2 linked regions of the Notamacropus eugenii genome follow. The protein of the gene in region 2 purifies or fractionates together with the protein of the main gene of each other region. This does not show direct contact. Links are inferred from orthologs where the notes say so. Each region holds a gene or a part of one and is shown on either strand. Other genes may lie near its edges. The genes, in order: GOLM1 and SLC7A14.

Region 1 (9,763 bases), on a different chromosome or scaffold from region 2:
TGAGGCAAACGGGGTTAAGTGACTTGCCCAGGATCATACAGCTATTAACTGTCTGATTTGAACTTAAGAAGATGAGTCTTCCTCACTCCTGGCCCATAGCTCTATCCACTGCAACATCCCTCATCACAAATACAGACCTCAAAAATAAGCTTGAAAATTCAACAACCAATCTGAATTGTAACCAGACCACTGTTATAAACATAATTGTTGCTCACAGTCACCGAAGCCCAATACTTAACTATAAACATTAAAGAATAGTAATAGATAGCAATGATTAATCACAATCTCCAAGCTACATGTAACAAAAACTTTTCAAAACGCATAGACTTAGCAGAAGAAATCAAAATCCTATAAAAAAAAAAGCATCTTAGAGGTATATATAATTCTTGTGATATTGTCTCCTCTTGGATTTGTCCCAAAGATGCTTTCCATGAGCCTTCGGAAGGTGAGTTTATGTCCTAATACTTTCATTCAATTATAAAAAGTCATTATTGTATCTATCTGTTCAACAGTCTACAGGCCATTAACTACAAAAGAATAATATAACAGCCTGTCCCAGAACCATTTTTATTTGAACTCAGTCAAAGAATGAGATGAATAAAAATAACATATATTCCTTTATAAATCAACAAATGCTGCAAAGACTAATCTCAAAACATTCTTGAGAATTCAGCAAAATAAACTATTAGAACCAAAGCGTCATCACAGAATCAACCAAGTATAACAGTGACCCATAAAAAAATTAAAAACATTTAAATAGATATTAGCATGCTAAATATTCATAACCTCGAGACTATGCAGAATGAAAGACTGATGATGAAGCATGCTACACACTGTCAGACTGAAAGATGACAGACCCAAGATGCAGACACATACGTTTTCAGACAAGGCCAATGTAGAGCGTTATTTTGTCAACTTGCCATATTTTTTACAAGGGCTTTGTTTTTCTTTTTCTTTTCCAGAGAGAAGAGAGGCAGTAGGGAAGGAAGGAAAGATGGGAAGAAGAGAGAGGAGAGAGAAGAAGGGTAGAGGACTGAAGCATCTACTTTTAAATGCACAGAACAGAAGACCAGGAAGAATCAGACACATAGGATAGCTCTGAAAGTCACATATCAAACTTCTTGCATATTTGAAGAAAAGAGTCCTTTTCTTCCCTTATATTATGTCTATGGAAATGCCATTTTATTTGGAGTTTAAGTTTGGAATTTTTAAAATACGATTTAAAAAAAAAATATGTAGAACGAAAAGATCTCAAATTATAGAGGCTCAACAGAAAAAAAATCAAAACCATATGTGCACAAGATGAAGCATATTTCATCCCTATGATCTTGTCTGCTACTGGAATTGCCCCAAAGATACTTTCAGTAAACCTACAAAGATGAACTTACCTGCCAACACTTTTGTTCAGTCACAGAAAGCAATCGTTCTATCTACCTCTGAAGTCATGAAACATTAAACAAACAAAAGGAGTCTGTACAATAGTAACCTGTTATAGAATCATTTCCATCTGAATTCCACTGCATATAAAAGAATGAAAAAAATAATAAAAATTATAACACCTAACATTTATATCATGCTATCAAAGGACAACTCATTTTATTCTCACACAAGGCTCAAGGGTGTTCTTCTATTTTTATCCCAGTCTTACAGATAAAGAAACAAAATGAGAATGCAAATAAAGCCTTTGCTTTGCAAAACTTAAATGTCTACATCCCTTATAATATTATGGTAACAATCCTTCCCTACCTATTTTTTTTTTGCCCTCTAAACAATCTCTTTCATTCTTGTAAGTAACATGTAGTCAGCCTAGTAAGGGCCTGATACTCTTGGCAGAAATTCAAAATTGTTTTAAATTCCAGTTTCTGCTTCTAAACCATGATATCCCATCATTCAAATTATCCCTTTAACAAATTAATAGTTATAGTCTAGAAATAAACTATTCTCCTCTCATAAGGAATTACCTTATATAAAAGTCACTTTAAAAGATGAGGGAGAGGAGCATCAGTGGTGACTGTGAAAGAATCAAAAGGATAGGCATTACATGGGTATATCAACAGTGGCAGTCAGTCTGGAAAAATCTGGAAACATGTTGTGGCTGTTGAGTCATGCATAACATTCCATGACCCCATTTAGGGTTTCTTTGACAAAGATGTGGAGTGATTTGCCATTTCCTTTTCCAGTTCATTTTACAGAGGAAGAAACTGAAGCAAAAACGGTTCAGTGACTTGCCCAGGGTCACACAGTTAGTGTCTGAGGCCAGATCTGAACTTAGGAAAATGCGTCTTCTTCTTCACTCCAGGCTCCACTCCACTCTGCACCACACACTGCCAAGGCTTAAATTGGTACCCACCTGATATCCTTAAACTAAGTAATACAAGACAACTCCAAATGACAGCTGCTGAATGTTCTCCTGGATAAATGGCCCTTTCAGGGATTCGCCCACTCCCTCTTCAATTTTCCTTAGGTATTACTTTAACTTAGAGCTGGAAGCCCTCCCCCCCACCGAACACCCAACAGGGGTAAGTAAAGCCACAGAAAGTTCCGCTCTCCCAAACTGAAAAAGGTACAGTCTTATGAAAATGGGTTGTTTTCAGCTTCCCAATATCACAAAGACAATTCCATCAGTAATGTTAAAAAAGGCAGTGAAAAACGATTTGTAAAACCCTTGCTTCCATCCATGTCGGTCAATGATAACACTGGTACTTTAAGACGCATTCCAGAAAAGGAAAGTGCGGTTCGAGGTGGGTTTGCACTTGAGCAGCGCTAAAGTTTTGCCTCGCCCCAGCACCATTAATCGTGCCCTCCAGACAGCGTCATCCAGCCGGTTTCCTCTCTTTCAGGTTTCACGAAATTAGCTTAAGGGAGATCTCGGAGGCAGACGGGACGCCGAGGCAGACCAGCAGCCAGCAAGGTGCCCGCGGACCGCAGGAAGCCCAGGGTCATCTCCCCCCCCCCCGCCCCCGCCATCACCATCACAGACACCCTCTCCCCCAAGGGCACCTGCCCCAAATCAGCGCCTACCCTGGGCTAACGTAGGAAAATACAATAAAGACAGCCAGGCTAAGGGACGCAGGAAGAGGGAAAGAACTCCTTCTTCTCCCACGCTCCGTATCAGCTGAGCAAATATCCGTTCACAACGAGAGCAGGAACTTCATTTTCCGGGGATGGGGAGGGATTTTATTTTTTGACATTAACATTCATGACAGAACCCAAGGAAAAAAGAATCAGTAAACCACAAGCATGCTAATGAGGAACCCAGGGGGGGCGGGGGGGGAGATTCACCTCCACTGGAGCAGAGGAGCTTTGGAAAGAATGCCAGACTCCTCCCGGAGGGGAAGAAGGGCAAGAGGATCCAGGACTGGCAGGGGAGGAGGGGCACCTTCTCTCCAGCGATAGGAAACTGATGTCCGGTCTAACGTGGAAGTGAAGGCTACCCCCACCATAAAACCCAGGCACGGACCCGTAACTCAACTGAAAATAAAACAAAGCAGAACACCAACAACACGCCAGTAAGGGACAGAAATACATGGGGAGGGGATTTCGGGGGGGGGGGGCTCCCTAAGGTCTAAGTTACTCCAGCAGAGGAAAGAGAAAGGAAGAGAAGGAAAGATGGGGAAGGGGGTGGGGGTGGAGATGAGCAAAGGAAGGAGGGAAGGACAGAGGGCGCCCAGAAAGCGGGCTGGTCCAACTCCTCGGACTCACCTTCTCCGCTCCGGGATCGGGTGGCTCGTGGCTCCCCGGGCCCTCTCCCTACCGGGCTGGAGCTCTGCGGGCCTCCGCCACTGGACCTTCCCCGCCCCCGGCTTCGCGCCCGCTCCGATCTCCGGGCAGCCTTCCTCCTCCTCCTCCTCCTCTACGCCCTCGCCTAGTGCCCGGAGCCGAGCAGCCACCCCTCCTCCGTCCGTCCGTCCACCCCGGAGGGAGCCTGCGCCCTTTGACTCCTCCAACCCCAGCCCAGTCGCGGCCGCCCGAAGCAAAATCCCCGCCCTTCGGGGCAGAGCCGCGCAGCTGGCCGGACGCGTCTGCTGCCGGGAGAGGGAAAGGTGGAGCGTGGAGAAAGGGGCTGCCAAGGCTCTGCGCCCCGGCCGCGATCGCCAGCTAACGGGGCTGGGCGAGGTGGAGGGGGAAGAGGCGGGAAGCTGGCACCGAGGGGCCCTGGAGGCAGCCAGGAGCCAGCGCGTGCCCCGCGGCTGCTGCGGCCCCCTTCCTCCCTCGCGCTAGCTCGGTCGCCCCTCTGCTGCCCCTCCTCCGGAAAAACAAGTTTCTCACCCACCCGTCCAGTGCCAAGCGGAGCCCCTCCCTTCCTCCCCTCGGTCCCAGCCGCCCCACCTCCACCTCTAGATCCAGCGGAATCTGACTGCACCTAGTCCTTAAGAATTTGATTGCATCACCTTCGCTGCCAGTGCAGCAAAATTTGGGTAAAAAGGGAGAGGAAGAGTGGAGCGATGGTCAGTGACCTTGGTCCTGCGGAAGGGGTCCCTACGTTACAGACTACTTTACCTTAGGAAGGAAAAAAGTCCCGAGAGAAGGGGGTGGGGGGAGGTTTGCCCACTGGAGCATTCTTACACCCATAGAGATGTCTCCCCTAAGGCATTTCCAGTTGGTGTGAATTTCGCACTGTTGTTTTCTCTCAAGCTGTTAGGCTAAGCTGTATGTTCTGGAAATGGCACATTGCCATCCAGCCTTTGCATTACATGGTCCTTTCAAATGAAAGAGGTGCCCGTAGCCTCCGTAAGCTTGACCTGGACTTTGAAGGCCTTGTCTGTGCCTATTTAGTTGGGATTTCAAAAAGCCCTGTTGGGGAAAATAAAAATACCTCCTCTACCTGCCTCTTGATGCCTGACATTCTTTTAACTAAGGACAAAATCGTGTTCCAAAATTAGAGATAAGGCTTAACATACAGATGTCCTTAGGAAAAGTAACTCAAAGTGATTCAGGCTAAATGAAATGCCTGATCATCAAATCAGTCCCAGAGAACAGGTTTTGATGGGAGGCTGCCTCAAAGCAGAAACAAAAGGGAAAGGGACAGAAGAAATACCTTTGGAACTGCAAAAATGAACTTTGACTAGTCACAGATTTGCCCGGGTCTTATGCCTGATGCTTTCCTCTCTAGCATATCACAGTCTTTGATGTCTTTGATTTTAGAACAGTTATTTAAAATGGAAAAATCCTGAATGGCAGCACTTGGTTTAAGAGAATTCTTTTAAAAATATTTAAATCCTAGAACAATAGACTTTCCGAATTGGAAGAGACTAAAGGTTATGTAGTTTATCCTGAATCATCCATCACAATCCTCCCACCACCCACCTCCATTTCCAGCTAATGGATTCAGTTTGAGGAAACTGGGAGAATCTCAGTTCACTTTAGGATTTGTTTCTATGGCCCTGGAATCTATCTATATTAAAGACATAAATCTTCACCCTTAGGGGAAGCAGTAAGAGTAGCTTGGCCAGTGCTTTTTTTTTTTTTTTTAAGAGCGTTGAAGGATCAGACAAGGATACTTTGCGTAATGTAGCCCAGTTGCTGTAAAGAAAGATGGGAGATGGAAAGGAATTAAGAGAGCAGGCTAGTCCCCTTAACCCCAAGAGCTAATGGGAAGAGAGGGGGCTGGGGCTAGGAAGCACAGCCAGTAACTGGTAGAAAGAGACAACTGAGACAGTTATCAAGAGCCTACCCAGAAGTGGAAAAACATTCATTTAAATTGTCTAAAGATTTGTTCCTCAGACCATACTAATTATGTGGAGGATGAGGCCATGGAGCTCCAGAGTGGGTTGGTGTACATCCATATAAATACAAACCACTTAAGGTTTCAAAAGACTGAAGGGAATGTGGCCTGCAGGCTAGAAAGGGCTTAAACACTATGCTAACTATCTGAGAGCTGGTCCCCTGGAGATAAAATAATGAGCACCATCTGCTGGAAAGACCTGAGTTAGGGAGAAGGTAAGGAGGATTCAGATTAGAGGAGGGCTACGTGGTACAGAAGGACTTTAGGAGGGAGTACCATTGTGAGTGCTTATGAGAAGAACTGGTTAACTACCTTCCATATTTTTTTTACCTTTGGTAAAATTCCAGATACTGTAGATCCTAGATTGAACTTGAGTGGGAGCAAAGTGCCAAGAAAGTGAGAAGTTTCCAGAGTATACTTGGGTACTTTATTAGAGGAGGAAGCCCTTGGCTTACACGTGTACACAAATCTCCAGTCCAGACAGTGCTTTGTTTGTTTTTTAATAAGTTTTTACCTATTTTTCTATTTCTTACATTATCGTAGTATTCCATATATCGCTCTCCTCCTCCTCCTAGAAAGTCATCCCAAATGACAAATATTTGGGGGGAAAGGGTAGTCAGTACGACTGATCAATACATTGAAAAAGTCTAAAAACACCTGTGAATCTCCTACCTTCATGAAGGGGTATATTGGGGATATCTTGTCGTTCTTCTTCTTCTGAGTCTTGCTTGATCTTTTTTATTTTGTTACATTTATTTTTGAGCTTTTCATGTGTCATTCTTTCCATTTACATTATTATAGTTTCCTTATATATTGTTTTCTTGGCTCTGCTTATCACTCTGTAAATCTTTAAATTCATTTCTGTATTTATCATATGCATCATTTCTTATAGCACAATTCCATTACATTCATGTACCACAATTTGTTTAGCTGTTACCCAATTGATAGGCATCTGCTTTGTTTATAATTCTTAGATATCACAAAAAGTGCTGCTATAAATATTTTGGAGTATATGGGGACTTTTTTCCTTATTGATAGCTTCCTTAATGTATAAATCCAATAATGGAGTCTCTGGTTCAAATGTATGGACATTTTTGGTCACTTTACTTGCATGATTCCCAAATTGCTTTCCAAAATGATTGTACTATTTCATAGCTCCACCAACAATGTATTGGCCTACCTATCTTTCTACAACCCCTCCAATATTTACTATTTTTTGTCAGTTTTGCCAATTTGCCAGGTGTGAGGTGAAACCTTGAAGTTGTTTTGATTTGCTTTTCTCTTTTTATTAGTGTTTTGAAGCATTTTTCCCGTGGTTGAGAACACTTTGCAGTTCTTTTGAGAACTGTTTGTTCATAACTTTTAACCATTTATATATTGTGTAATGGCTATTACACATAGATATAGATATAGTTATCATGATACCAAACTCTGATCAGAGAAACTTGATACAAAGAATGTTTTTTTCCCATTTGACCATTTCCTTTCTCATTCTAGATACATTAATGTTGTCTGTGCTGAAACTTTTCAGTTTCAAGTTCCCTCTTCTGCTGGAAACACGGTAGTATGTTTGTTTATGACTTTCATCTTTTTTTGAGGTGACCCAGTTCTCACTGTCTCTCTTCCACTCTCCCCTGATCCCCTCTTCTCAATTAATACCCCTTTCTCTTTTTTAGGATTTTGTTAATTCCCTTTTCTCTCCTGCTTTTTTTCTGGTTATATATTTCTTCTTTTTTCTTCTGTTAACCAAATAGATTTCCCCTTCCTCTTCTCCTCTTCAGCTAGTCCTGTTCCTACAGTTTTGAAATCCAGGTTTTTTGCACCACTTTTCAAAAACAGCTTCTCTTGCTCTCTTCATCATTTATCTTCTCTTTCTGTTTCATAGGTTCCCAAAGTAGTCAATCAATGCTCTAAATGTGTGCCCCCTAGGAGGCACTAGAATGATCTAGGGGGGTACAATTGAGGGGCATTAAATACAAATAAGGGGCAGTAAAAGCACAAAGAAAGAACAGAAAATAAGAAAATTTTGAAAAACCATTCATATATATTTCATCTGTTATGTAAGAGTTAAACTAGTAGTGATTTCATTATTTTCCAAATAAACATATAAAATGCAGATTATAACTGCTTAGTGGTCAAGTCTACTGACAGGTCTTAACAAGCAAGTGTTGGCAGGGAAGCATATTGCACATTGTCAGGAGGTCCAGCACGATGGGCAGAAATATGTGCTTGTAATAGCTTGTTTACAATACAATACTACATATTGTATCATCAAAATTTCAATGCAGGAAAAAAAGCCTAAAAATTTATAATGAGTTATTAAATTTAAGATGGATCATTTTTTTTTAATTTATATTTATTTGAAAGGATGCAAATTAAAAAAAACATTAATGGATCAAATAAAGTAGATTGGGGGTGCACTGAATTTTTTTTAAAAGGGAGCAGTAGGTCAAATAAATTGGGGAACCTCTGCTCTGAACCCTCATTTTCTGATTCATGTCTCCTAAAATTATCTGGTTTCTCTCTTTGTATTCTTCATGTAATAAAAACTTCCAAGGGATCCATTCTAGGCTCTCCCCTCTGTATGCTTTCTGCCATTGTTTTGTAGGGTTTGCTTCATGAATTCCCCTCTTCTGTTGTGCCATTTCCCACTACGTCCCTGATTATGCTGCCCACCCATCACCCACTCAAAGAGAGTATACTCTCTCTTGTTGACCTTTTTTTTTTTTCTATCTTTGCCTAGAAATATCCTCCCCGTGTCCAGGCTTCCCTACTCTTCCAGTGTCAGGTGCCCCTAGGAATTCCAAGAAGACTTTCTGAGGACCAAATCCCCCATCCAGTGTGAAGTGCCCATTTCCCTTTACCAATCATTTTTCTTCACCCATTAGAGCATTCATCAGTGGAACAACCTCCCACCTCCAAAGTAAGGCCTCTTTCCTTTCTTTCCCCTTTTTGAGCTTTCTACCTTCCTCTTCACCTACTCCCTGTTAACCTCCTCTTTTTGAGATCACAGAGTTCATCTTCCCCTCACTGCTAACCCTTGATTTGCCCCCTGCCAATCCCTCACTCCTCTCTATCCTTCCCCATTCTCCCTTATATGTACCCTCTCATGTTGTAATGTAGTCCCAGAAAAGAAGCTTTCACTTGTAGCAGGGTGTCACCAGGTCCTGTCCAGACCACCCCCTGTTCATCTCTTCATTCTTCAGTCTCCCAGATTCTTGCCCTCTCCCCTATTTCTTCAAGTACACTTAGAAAGAAGGCTGATCTCTCTGCTGTCACTACTGTGACAACACTGCTGTCTTTGCCTGCTTCACTTATTCACTCCTCTGGTATTTCTGTTGTTTGGGGTGTGTGAGAGGCAAGTAATCTCTTCAGTTCTGATTTTCTTTCTTTTCTTTTTTAAAAATATTTTATTCCTCCCCCCAATTGCATGTAAAGACAATTTTTGACATTCATTTTTTTTTTTAGTTGTTTCAAATTTTCTCCCTTCCTCACCTCCCAAGGGAAGACTCTGGTTTTCTTTCTAAAAATATTTCAAATTCTTCCTCATTATTGAACATCCATTTTTTTGTCTTGCTTTCTGGAAGACGTTTAGCCCAGGGCCCCCGTGATGTAAGATAGGTGTCAAACATGACACTGCCCTTTGCAGCTAGCAACACTCCCATTTGCAGCAGAAGCAGATTAAAAGGTTAAAACAGAATTGGGAAATATTTACATAATAAATAAAAATACAATGAATCATAGATAACATTACATTTTAAAACTAAGTCAATATGTTGCCAGTAGAGATCCTTATGTACAGTCCACGTTTCTATTTACTGATCCAAGGCAAAATGAGTAGAGATCCTTATGTACAGTCCATGTTTCTATTTACTGATCCAAGGCAAAATGAGTAGAGATCCTTATGTACAGTCCACGTTTCTATTTACTGATCCAAGGCAAAATGAGTGCTCTCCTGAGTCTAGTATTAATATTCTGGTTTCATCACAGGTCCCATTATTCATAAAGTAGGTTTAGTGGAGAACTTATGGTGTTTTT
Region 2 (9,946 bases):
TGAAATCACTAACTCCCTAGTGTACCTTTCCAGATCCCATTAGCGGTGAGTGATTTCTCCTCTCTCACATTACGCTGAATTTACTTTGCATGTATTTTTAGTTTAACCATCCAACAAGTACTTATTAATATTCATTTAGTTTGTGCCAGACACTGTGCTAAGTGCTCAGAGGAAAAGAAAGGCAAAACCTTGGTTCTATTTATTTGTCTGTATACACACTATGTATGTGTGTGTATACACACATATGTCCATACAAATAGATGTAAATGTGCACTTATGTGAGTGTGTGTGAATGTATGTATAGATGTATAATATGTAGCTGCCTACAAATTATATCTCCCTGTAGGATATACTGTTTCCCCCCTAAATGTTTGCATCTGTGTTGTTTGAAACCTAGTAGGAGCTCAGTAATTGGTTGTTAGATTGACTTGAACATAATTAAGCCTGAAGCTGAAACACACATATACACACATATGTATATTGACATATATATATATATACATATATATATAGTGTATGTATTTTAGGGAACTTGGAGGCTTTACTTAGAATCAAATTAAAACCTTGCCCTTCTCAGAGGAAAAGAAATCCATGTGCTACTAATGGGCTACTCGGTTTAAATTTTCAGATCCTCAAACATCTGGCTCATGCTTCCTTGCAGGGGGCTGCACATTCATCCTGAGACTCTCTGACCTTCGGCTTCCTCATCTGTAACATGAGGGAGGTGGGCAAGGTGATCTCTAGTCTTCCTTGATATTAGTGCCTTCCCTCTGAGACTACTACCAGCTTTTCCTACCTATCTTTGTCTTGTTTGTACAGAGTTTGCTTGTTTCTATTTCAGTAAAACCACAGGTCAGTCCCCACCCCCACAATGAAATCTTCAGTATGGGTTTGTTCGTTTTCATTTTTGGTGATTTGCTTCTCCCTAGGAGACAAATGTAGCCTGAATATGCTGTTGTTCCAGCTCATCTAGAACGTTTTTTGGAACTGTGTTTCCAAAGTGACCCAAATGTTCATATCTTTTGACCAAATAATACCAATGCTAGTCTTTTACTCCAAAGTGTAAAGACAGAAGGAAAGGTGACTGTGTGTGTGTATCAAAACATTCAGAGCAGCATTATTTGTTGTAGCAATAAAGCAAACCCCAAAACAAAGCCCATTGATGGGGGAATGGAAGAACAAATTATGCTACATGAATGCTATGAATATTATGGCATTGTAAGAAATGAAAAATATGAAAAATTCAGAGAAACTTAAGAAGATTTGCATGAACTGATGCAAACAAAGCAAGTAGCTGCAAGAGAACAATTTTCATGACTACAGTGATGTAAAGAAAAAAACACACATTCTAATTAATGCAATGATAATCTTTCCTCCTGGGGACTAGTGAAGGTGAGCTACAGGTGCAGAATGACAACTATGCCCTTCAGACATGGACAACATGTTAATTCTTTGTCACACAGGTGAGTTTGGTTAGCTGGGGACAGCATTAGGAAATGAAAGTGATTTGGAAAATCATCAATAAAACATTGAGAAAATAAATGTTGAGTACAAACAGGAGCCAACTCATACAGTCTCACTGGAGATGATCATCAAATTTTCAGTGTGAGCATTCATATCTCAGAAATCAGCAAACACTACAAACCAGGGTTTGATTAAAATTTTTTTGTTATCTAGACTTTAGAAAGTGATGGAGAAAGTGTTACTAACATAGACTACGCTTAAAAGTGTGTGGTTCTCCTTCCTCCTGCTTTTCAGAGATCTGGTTGTTAAACATTTACCAGCACACCCCTGAATACAGGTAAAGCCCTGGGTAATTCAGTGTTTTGGTCAACTGTGCTCTTACTGTAAAAAGATCTACCATCCTTAGTTTTGATATCAGTCTTTAGGAAATGTTTCTGGAATCCCCTTTTTGAACAATCTTAAAGAACTTTGTTAATTTTTTTTCTTACTCTTGATAGCAGCAGAACCCTTGTCAATTCCAGATTCTGAAAGGCAGCTGAAAAACATCACTAGGACGTGAGCTTTGCTCTCTGGCTTCAGAGTTTGAGAAAAGCACAGGTGCTCTTAATTTGTCATTGCCCATTAACAAAAGGGACTTCAACAATGCTGACTAGGCACACATTGAAATGTGTTATTTATCCCCATTACTATGAAGAACTCTTAAAAAATTAGAGAAGCACAAGATTAATGGAGAAGCAGCCGAGAGTGGAAATGAGTATTTATAAAAGCCAAGTGAGAAAGGCTAGGCTCATTACCAGGCAGAATTCTTTGATATCTTGAAGTAGCAAAATACAGGTCTTATCTTTATCTTTACCTGGAACTCTTAAAATCAGAAATCTCTCTGCTTTCACAGTTCAAGAAATCAGGGTCAGAGATCTAGGACTGGAAGGGACCTCAGCCAACCCTGTTTTACAGATGATGAGCCTGAGCCTCTAAGAGGTGAAGAGAATTGTCTAAAGTCACACAGTCAGTAAGCATCAGAAGTAAGCATCCCGGTCTGATGACTCCAGAGCCAGTGCCCTTTCCACTGTGCCCCACTGCTACAAGCTGCTTTACTGACAGTTTTTCAATGGATAAAAACCAGTTGGCTTGATCCCATGCTTATACTTTATCCAAATATTCCATTGTGTATATGTGTGTGTATGAATATATATGTTTGTGTGTATATGTGTGTGTATGTATATGTATGAGACTATGTGAGTGTATGCATGTGAGTGTGTGAGAGAATGAGTGTGTAATATGAGTGTGTCTGTGTGAATGTGTGAATGTGTGTGTGTGTGTGCATGTGTGTATGTAGGGGGAGGAGCAGGGCAAAAAGGAGAAGATGGGAGGGAAGCTGGTTCTCTTGTTGCATAACAGAATTGTATCTGAGTGCCAGGTGTGGGTGCTGGGAGATTGGCACAGGTCCTGCTGAACTTGCTGTTTCCCACATCTTTCCTAAATTGTAGTCCCTGTATCAAAACATTAAGCCAACATTGAGTAGGAGCATCGAAGCCAATTTAGCCTCTGCGTCAAGCAAACCTCCCTAATGATGAGAGCTCTCTCAAGGGGGAATGGGCCACTCAGAGGGCATGGGTTTCCCCTTCCTGGAGATCTTTAAGCAAAAGTGAGGGCAGAGGTTTAAATCTTCATGACCACAGCTTAAAGAAAAACACCCACATTTGAAGTAAAGAATGAAACGATCCCTGCCTCCAGGAGCTCACTCTTTCTCCGGGCAGAACTGGTCTTGTGCTTCCAAGACCCAGAACTCTGGACTCCAGCAACATGGGACCACTTGTTGTGAAGCTGGATCGCTGCTCGTTCATATCCTTTGACCATTTGTCAATTCGGGAATGGCTCTTATTGCAAATTTGAAGCAATTCCTTCTATATACTGCAAATGAGACTTATATCAGAGAAATCTGAGTTTGGAACTAGGCATATTTTTTTTGTATAAAACTTTGGTTTGGTTTTTTTTTTTTTTAACCTGAGCATGTAGCAAAGTATCTGGCATGTAGTAGGTGCTTAATTAGTGCTTTTTAAATTTAATTTACATAGTAACTACTGAATAAATTCTTTTCATTTATTCATTCATTTATTCATTCATTCATTCATTCATTCATTCATTCATTCATTCATTTATTCAGTGAAGTGTCAGTTGGAATAGCTTTATTCTTTGCCATCTTATTTCTTAGCCCTGTCTACTCTGCTTCTGCTATCTCAACACCCTCAGCTCTGGGAGGGCAACTGAAAATGATGTACCAAAGTGATTCTCCTTGCCCTAACCTCCCAACTCTGCCTCTTCCCCAACATTGACCCCGAGACTGAGCTGCTCACCTGATAGGATAGAAGCCACCGCTGCGATGATAAAGGACACGATCACACCAGGTCCTGCCATTTCTTTTGCCACAAGCCCAGACACCACATACATGCCGGTGCCCACACAGCTGCCAACCCCAAGGGAGATGAGGTCTACAGTGGTGAGCACCTGGGCCAACTTGGTCCCATGAGATGTGGTGCCACCTGTGCTTTCCAGCATTGACTCCACAGGCTTGGTGCGAAGGATCCGAGAGTGCATGGCATACCAAGCAGCCCCCCACTGTACCCGCCGGGGGTCCAGAGAGGCAAACAAGCCACTCATTGTGACCAACAGGGATGGAGACAGATGCCAGCTGCTTGGAGAGATTGGAAGGCTCAGTCAATGGCTCAGGAGCACATCAGCTTCAAGGGAGGAGAGACTCTCCTTTCAGAAAAGATCCAGGGGGCCCCACAGCCACATTCTTTAGCCACGGCTTCCTCTTTTCCCTGAAGCTTAGAGTCCTGTGGGAAACCCTAGAAAGAAAAAGGACAAAAGAAAAGGATGAGTGAGATCATGTGGAAACAACATGTTGGGTCTGAAGAGCCAAGGCGTAGTGGAAGGAACAAGAGGCCAGGAGGACTGTGGTTTAGTCTCAGCTCAGCTGAGGGCCATAACTAGGATCTGGCCATTGGATCTCTGTTCTTGGGCACTGACATTCAGAAGGCCCTGGTGATATTTACATTCCTTTTTTTTTTTTTTATTTTTTTTTTTATTTTTTTTTTATTAAATTTATTTATTTAACTTTTAACATTCATTTTCACAAAATTTTGGGTTACAAATTTTCTCCCCTTTTATCCCCTCCCCCCCCAAACACCAAGCATTCTAATTGCCCCTATGACCAATCTGCTCTCTCTTCTATCATCCCTCTCTGCCCTTGTCTCCATCTTCTCTTTTGTCCTGTAGGGGCAGATAGCTTTCTATACCCCTTTACCTGTTTTTCTTATTTCCTATTGGCAAGAACATTACTCGACAGTTGATCCTAACACTTTGAGTTCCACCTTCTTTACCTCCCTCCCTCTCCACCCCTTCCCTTTGGAAGGCAAGCAATTCAATATAGGCCAAATCTGTGTAGTTTTGCAAATGACTTCCATAATAGTTGTGCTGTATAGGACTAACTATATTTCCCTCCAACCTATCCTGTCCCCCATTACTTCTATTCTCTTTTGATCCTATCCCTCCCCATGAGTGTCGACCTCGAATTGCACTCTCCTCCTCATGCCCTCCCTTCTATCATCCCCCCCACCCTGCTTGTCCCCTTATCCCCCACTTTCCTGTATTGTGAGATAGGTTTTCCTACCAAAATGAGTGTGCACTTTATTCTTTTCTTTAGTGGAATGTGATGAGAGTAGACTTCATGTTTTTCTCTCACCTCCCCTCTTTATCCCTCCACTAATGAGTCTTTTGATTGCCTCTTTTATGAGAGATAATTTGCCCCATTCAATTTCTCCCTTTCTCTTCCCAATATATTTCTCTCTCACTGCTTGATTTCATTTTGTTTTAAAGATATGATCCCATCCTATTCAATTCACTCTGTGCACTCTGTCTCTGTGTATGTGAGCGTGTGTGCATGTGTAATCCCACCCAGTACCCAGATACTGAAATGTTTCAAGAGTTACAAATATTGTCTTTCCATGTAGGAATGTAAACAGTTCAGCTTTAGTAAGTCCCTTATGACCTCACTTTGCTGTTCACCTTTTCATGGTTCTCTTTATTCTTGTGTTTGAAAGTCAAATTTTCTTTTCAGCTCTGGTCTTTTCATCAAGAATACTTGAAAATCCTCTATTTCATTGAAAGACCATTTTTTCCCCTGAAGTATTTTAGTCAGTTTTGCTGGGTAGGTGATTCTTGGTTTTAGTCCTAGTTCCTTTGACTTCTGGAATATACTGTTCCATGCCCTTCGATCCCTTAATGTAGAGGCTGCTAGATCTTGTGTTATCCTGATTGTATTTCCACAATACTTGAATTGTTTCTTTCTAGCTGCCTGCAGTATTTTCTCCTTGACCTGGGAACTCTGGAATTTGGCCACAATGTTCCTAGGAGTTTCTCTTTTTGGATCTCTTTCAGGCGGTGTTCTGTGGATTCCTTGAATATTTACTTTGCCCTCTGGTTCTAGAATCTCAGGGCAGTTTTCCTTGATAATTTCATGAAAGATGATGTCTAGGCTCTTCTTTTGATCATGGCTTTCAGGTAGTCCCATAATTTTTAAATTGTCTCTCCTGGATCTATTTTCCAGGTCTGTTGTTTTTCCAATGAGATATTTCACATTATCTTCCATTTTTCCATTCTTCTCTCTTTGTTCTGTGATTTCTTGGTTTTGCATAAAGTCATTAGCCTCCATCTGTGCCATTCTAATTTTGAAAGAACTATTTTCTTCAGTGAGCTTTTGAATCTCCTTTTCCATGTGGCTAATTCTGCTTTTGAAAGCATTCTTCTCCTCATTGGCTTTTTGAACCTCTTTTGCCAATTGAGTTAGGCTAGTTTTCAAGGTGTTAATTTCTTCAACATTTTTTTGGGTCTCCCTTAGCAGGGAGCTGATCTGCTGTTCATGCTTTGACTTCATGTCTCTCATTTCTCTTCCCAGCTTTTCCTCCACCTCTCTAACTTGATTTTCAAAATTCTTTTTGAGCTCTTCCATGGCCTGAGCCCATTGGGTGGGCTGGGACACAGAAGCCTTGATTTCTGTGTCTTTGCCTGATGGTAAGCATTGTTCTTCCTCATCAGAAAGGAAGGGAGGAAATGCCTGTTCGCCAAGAAAGTAACCTTCTATAGTCTTATTTCTTTTCCCTTTTCTGGGCATTTTCCCAGCCAGCGACTTGACCTCTGAATATTTTCCTCACACCCACCTCACCTCCTGATCCTCCCAGCCCGTGTTTGTGGTCTGAGATTCAAATGCTGCTTCCAGCCTCAGGGCTTTGGGCGGGGGCAGGGCTGCTATTCAGTATGAGATTATGATCTGGTGCTGAGATCGGGGCAGGGCTGCCTCTCAGGCTCAGTTCCCTCAGGGGGTTTATGCGCAGACCTTCCGCAATGGATTCAGGCTCCCGCCCGCTTGGGGAGCCCCTGTCTGCAGCCGCCTCTCAGCTTCTACCTCCCGGGGGGGGGGCCTGAATTATGGGGGCACCCCACTCCCCTCTCGACCCGCCAAAGAGACTCTCTCACCCACCCCTGTCACCTGTGGGTGGAGGGACTTGTGCGGCCGCTGGAGATCCCGTCCCTGAAGCCTGCTCGGATCTGTTTCTCTCGGTGCCGCAGCCGTGGCCGCAGCAGGTCTGGGCTGGGCTTTGTGTCTGCAGCGCGATGGACCTTTTGCGAGAGGTTTGCAGATCCCTCTGTGGGTGGAGGGACCCGCGTGGCCGCTGGAGATCCTATCTGTGAAGCCTGCTCGGATCTTTTCCTCTCGGTGCCGCGGCAGGGCTGCACTCAGCTCCCAGTCCCGGCGCCCAGTCCGCAGCGCGAAGGACCCCCCCGCGAGAGGTTTGCAGGTCTCTCTGGAACAGAAATCTCCCTCGCTCCAATGTTCCGTGGCCTCTGGGTGCGGAATTCGCCGTGAGTTACTTCCCTGTAGCCGTTCTATGGGTTGTGGGTTCAGAGCTATGTGTATGTGCGTCTTTCTACTCCGCCATCTTGGCTCCACTCGATATTTACATTCCTTTAACCATATAGAAACAAACGAGCTTAGCAAGTAGTTATGGAGAATAATTAACGTTACAGATGGATTAAAAAAATAAATATATAGGTATGTATGTGCATGTACTAAACTTAACGAGGCAATTAACAAAGTTGCTCCGTTTGTATCCCTCCTGCATCTTTTAATTGCTTTTCAAATAAAGGAAAAGTTTTATTCATATCTTTTTTTTCCTGTTTATCACTCCCCTAACTCATCTTCTTCTATCCCTTCAGCAAAAGCCTTGCTTTGTAACAAATGTGCATAATCAAATCAGACAAATGGGCAGAAATAATAATTGGCTAAAATAGGAAATTAGAAGATGGCATTCCTCTCTCTCCAGTGCAGTCTTCCCTGTCTCCTTACCTTGCTATCACTCACTGCTATCAGCTGGTATCATTCCCTGGGATCAACTTCTCTAGCCGTAACCTCACGGGGTCTCAGGATCTCTGCCCACAGGGGTCAGCATCCTGGGGTTTCTGTTTCTCCTCCATGAGTGGGGTCCCAAGGTCTCTCTTCCCAGGGATCCTCACTTCCAGTGATCTTCCCCAATTCCTTCAATTGTGTGTCTTTATTTGATGGGATATTTTGTGTTCCTTGCCTAGGGTGTCAGTGACAGCTAAGATTCAGCCACTAAGTTCTTATGGTCAAATCATCAGTTCTCTCATCTGTAAAATGGGTATAATAACATTTAGTCTACCTGTCCTCCAGAACTGTGAGTTATTGTACCTGGAGGGAGTCTGGGTCTTACTCATCTTTTGGGCTATCCTTAGCTTACACAGGATAAATCTTATATGTGTGAAATGACTTTCCTATCTAAAATCCCTCACCTTCACCCTGAACTTTCAATTTAGACTTCAGCTGTCTGAAACACCCAAGACATTCTAAGACTCAGTGAGATGAAAGAACACCAGTTCATGGCTCTTCTACCTCTTAGCTGTGAGATCTTGGGCAAGTCAGTTACATCTCTGGGCCTTGGTTTCCTCAGCTTCCTCAATTCTCAAAGAAAGAACTGAATGAAATGAATTCTAAGGTCTCTTTCAGCTCTAGAGTACTCTTTACCTCTTGAAATTACCCTGTTGTATATGACTTCTATTCACTGATTTGTTAGTTAGTCAGTCAATAAGCATTTATTAAGCACTAACTGTGTGCTGGTCACTGTGCTAAACACAGAATCGATTGGAGACAATCCACATAGGAAAGGGGCCAGCATTAAAAGGGAAGACTTCTCAGAGGAAGTGGAATTTAGCTGGGACTTCGAGGAAGTCATGGAAACAGGAGGTGGGGATGAGGATGCAGAGCATTCCAGGAATGTTGAACAGCCAGTGAAAACAGCTGGAGTGTTGGGAGATGGAATGTCTTGTTCTAGAAATAGCAAGGTCAGTGTCACTAGACAGGGGCAGGGGAGTAAGGAATAAGAAAACTGGAAAGGAGGAGGGAAGGCCAGGTTGTGAAGGCTCTGAATGCCAGACAGAATTTTGTATCTGATGCTGGAGGTTTGAAGGAATCACTAGAAATGGGGGAGGAGGGGAAAATCAATAAAGCCAGCTTTGTACTTCCCAAAAGTAATTTCACAACTGAGAGACAGATGAATAGAATATAAACTCCCTGAGGGCAGGGGCTGCTTAATTTTCATTGTCTGCAGACTATAATAGAGTGTCTTTTATATAACAGGCAAGAAATAAATTCTTACGAACTGAATTTAATAAATAGCATGATTAGTTTCTTGGAACATGGGAGCATTATAAATGTACCTATTTATTAGAAATTCATCCAGATTAGAATCAAGCATCAATTCTAGGTATATGACTGATATGATCAAGGCTTTTTCCTTTGAAATATTTTTTTAAACCAGAACTGTGATTTCAAACATGTACAAAGTGCCTGAAGGTGAGGAATTTCCTCAGACAATTCAGATGGGCATCTGTTCCGAATCTTACAATCTTAGGGTGGTGCCTGGGAGCACTAACTGGTTAAGTGACTTATCCAGCGTCACACAGCTAATTTGTGTCAGTTGAAGGACTTGAATCCAGGTCTTTCCAAGGACCCCTTTCTCTATCCCTTATGCTAATATGCTTCTCTTTCGGTAAGCCCCTTTGGGAGTGGTTTTGCCACTGACACTATTAGTGGTTTTGCTACTAACACTATTAATTCAAACTACTTAGCACTTGGTACAATGATTATCAGCTTCCAGAGTATTTGAAAACACTAATTCATTAACAGAGTCAGGGGAAATGTGGCAGTTTGGTTCACAGGGGAGTAGTGTCAGTTTACTTGGTTTCACATCTGAGATATGTTGGAATGTTAGAGCCTTCACCTTTATGGTGTATTTCTTGTTTGAATGATACCTCAATGGCACCACAAATATCTGGGAAAAAAACCTTAACTTTCAGACTTATATCCTGATTAGAGAAATAAGGTGGTAGAATAAAAAGAGACCCC

Evidence for each region.
Region 1: the proteins of SLC7A14 (region 2) and GOLM1 purify together in Homo sapiens (co-immunoprecipitation; 3 studies listed by BioGRID and IntAct, with this or other methods). This does not show direct contact. The link is inferred for Notamacropus eugenii from reciprocal best matches to the Homo sapiens genes SLC7A14 and GOLM1.

The regions. Positions count from the first base shown.
Region 1 is NC_092872.1:76,912,096-76,921,858, forward strand, and holds the start of GOLM1 (Golgi membrane protein 1), read right to left. Parts: upstream 4,387-9,763; 5' UTR 3,703-4,386; intron 1-3,702.
Region 2 is NC_092877.1:353,606,982-353,616,927, reverse strand, and holds the start of SLC7A14 (solute carrier family 7 member 14), read right to left. Parts: upstream 4,300-9,946; 5' UTR 4,123-4,299; coding exon 3,819-4,122; intron 1-3,818. UniProt on the Homo sapiens protein: Imports 4-aminobutanoate (GABA) into lysosomes. May act as a GABA sensor that regulates mTORC2-dependent INS signaling and gluconeogenesis. The transport mechanism and substrate selectivity remain to be elucidated.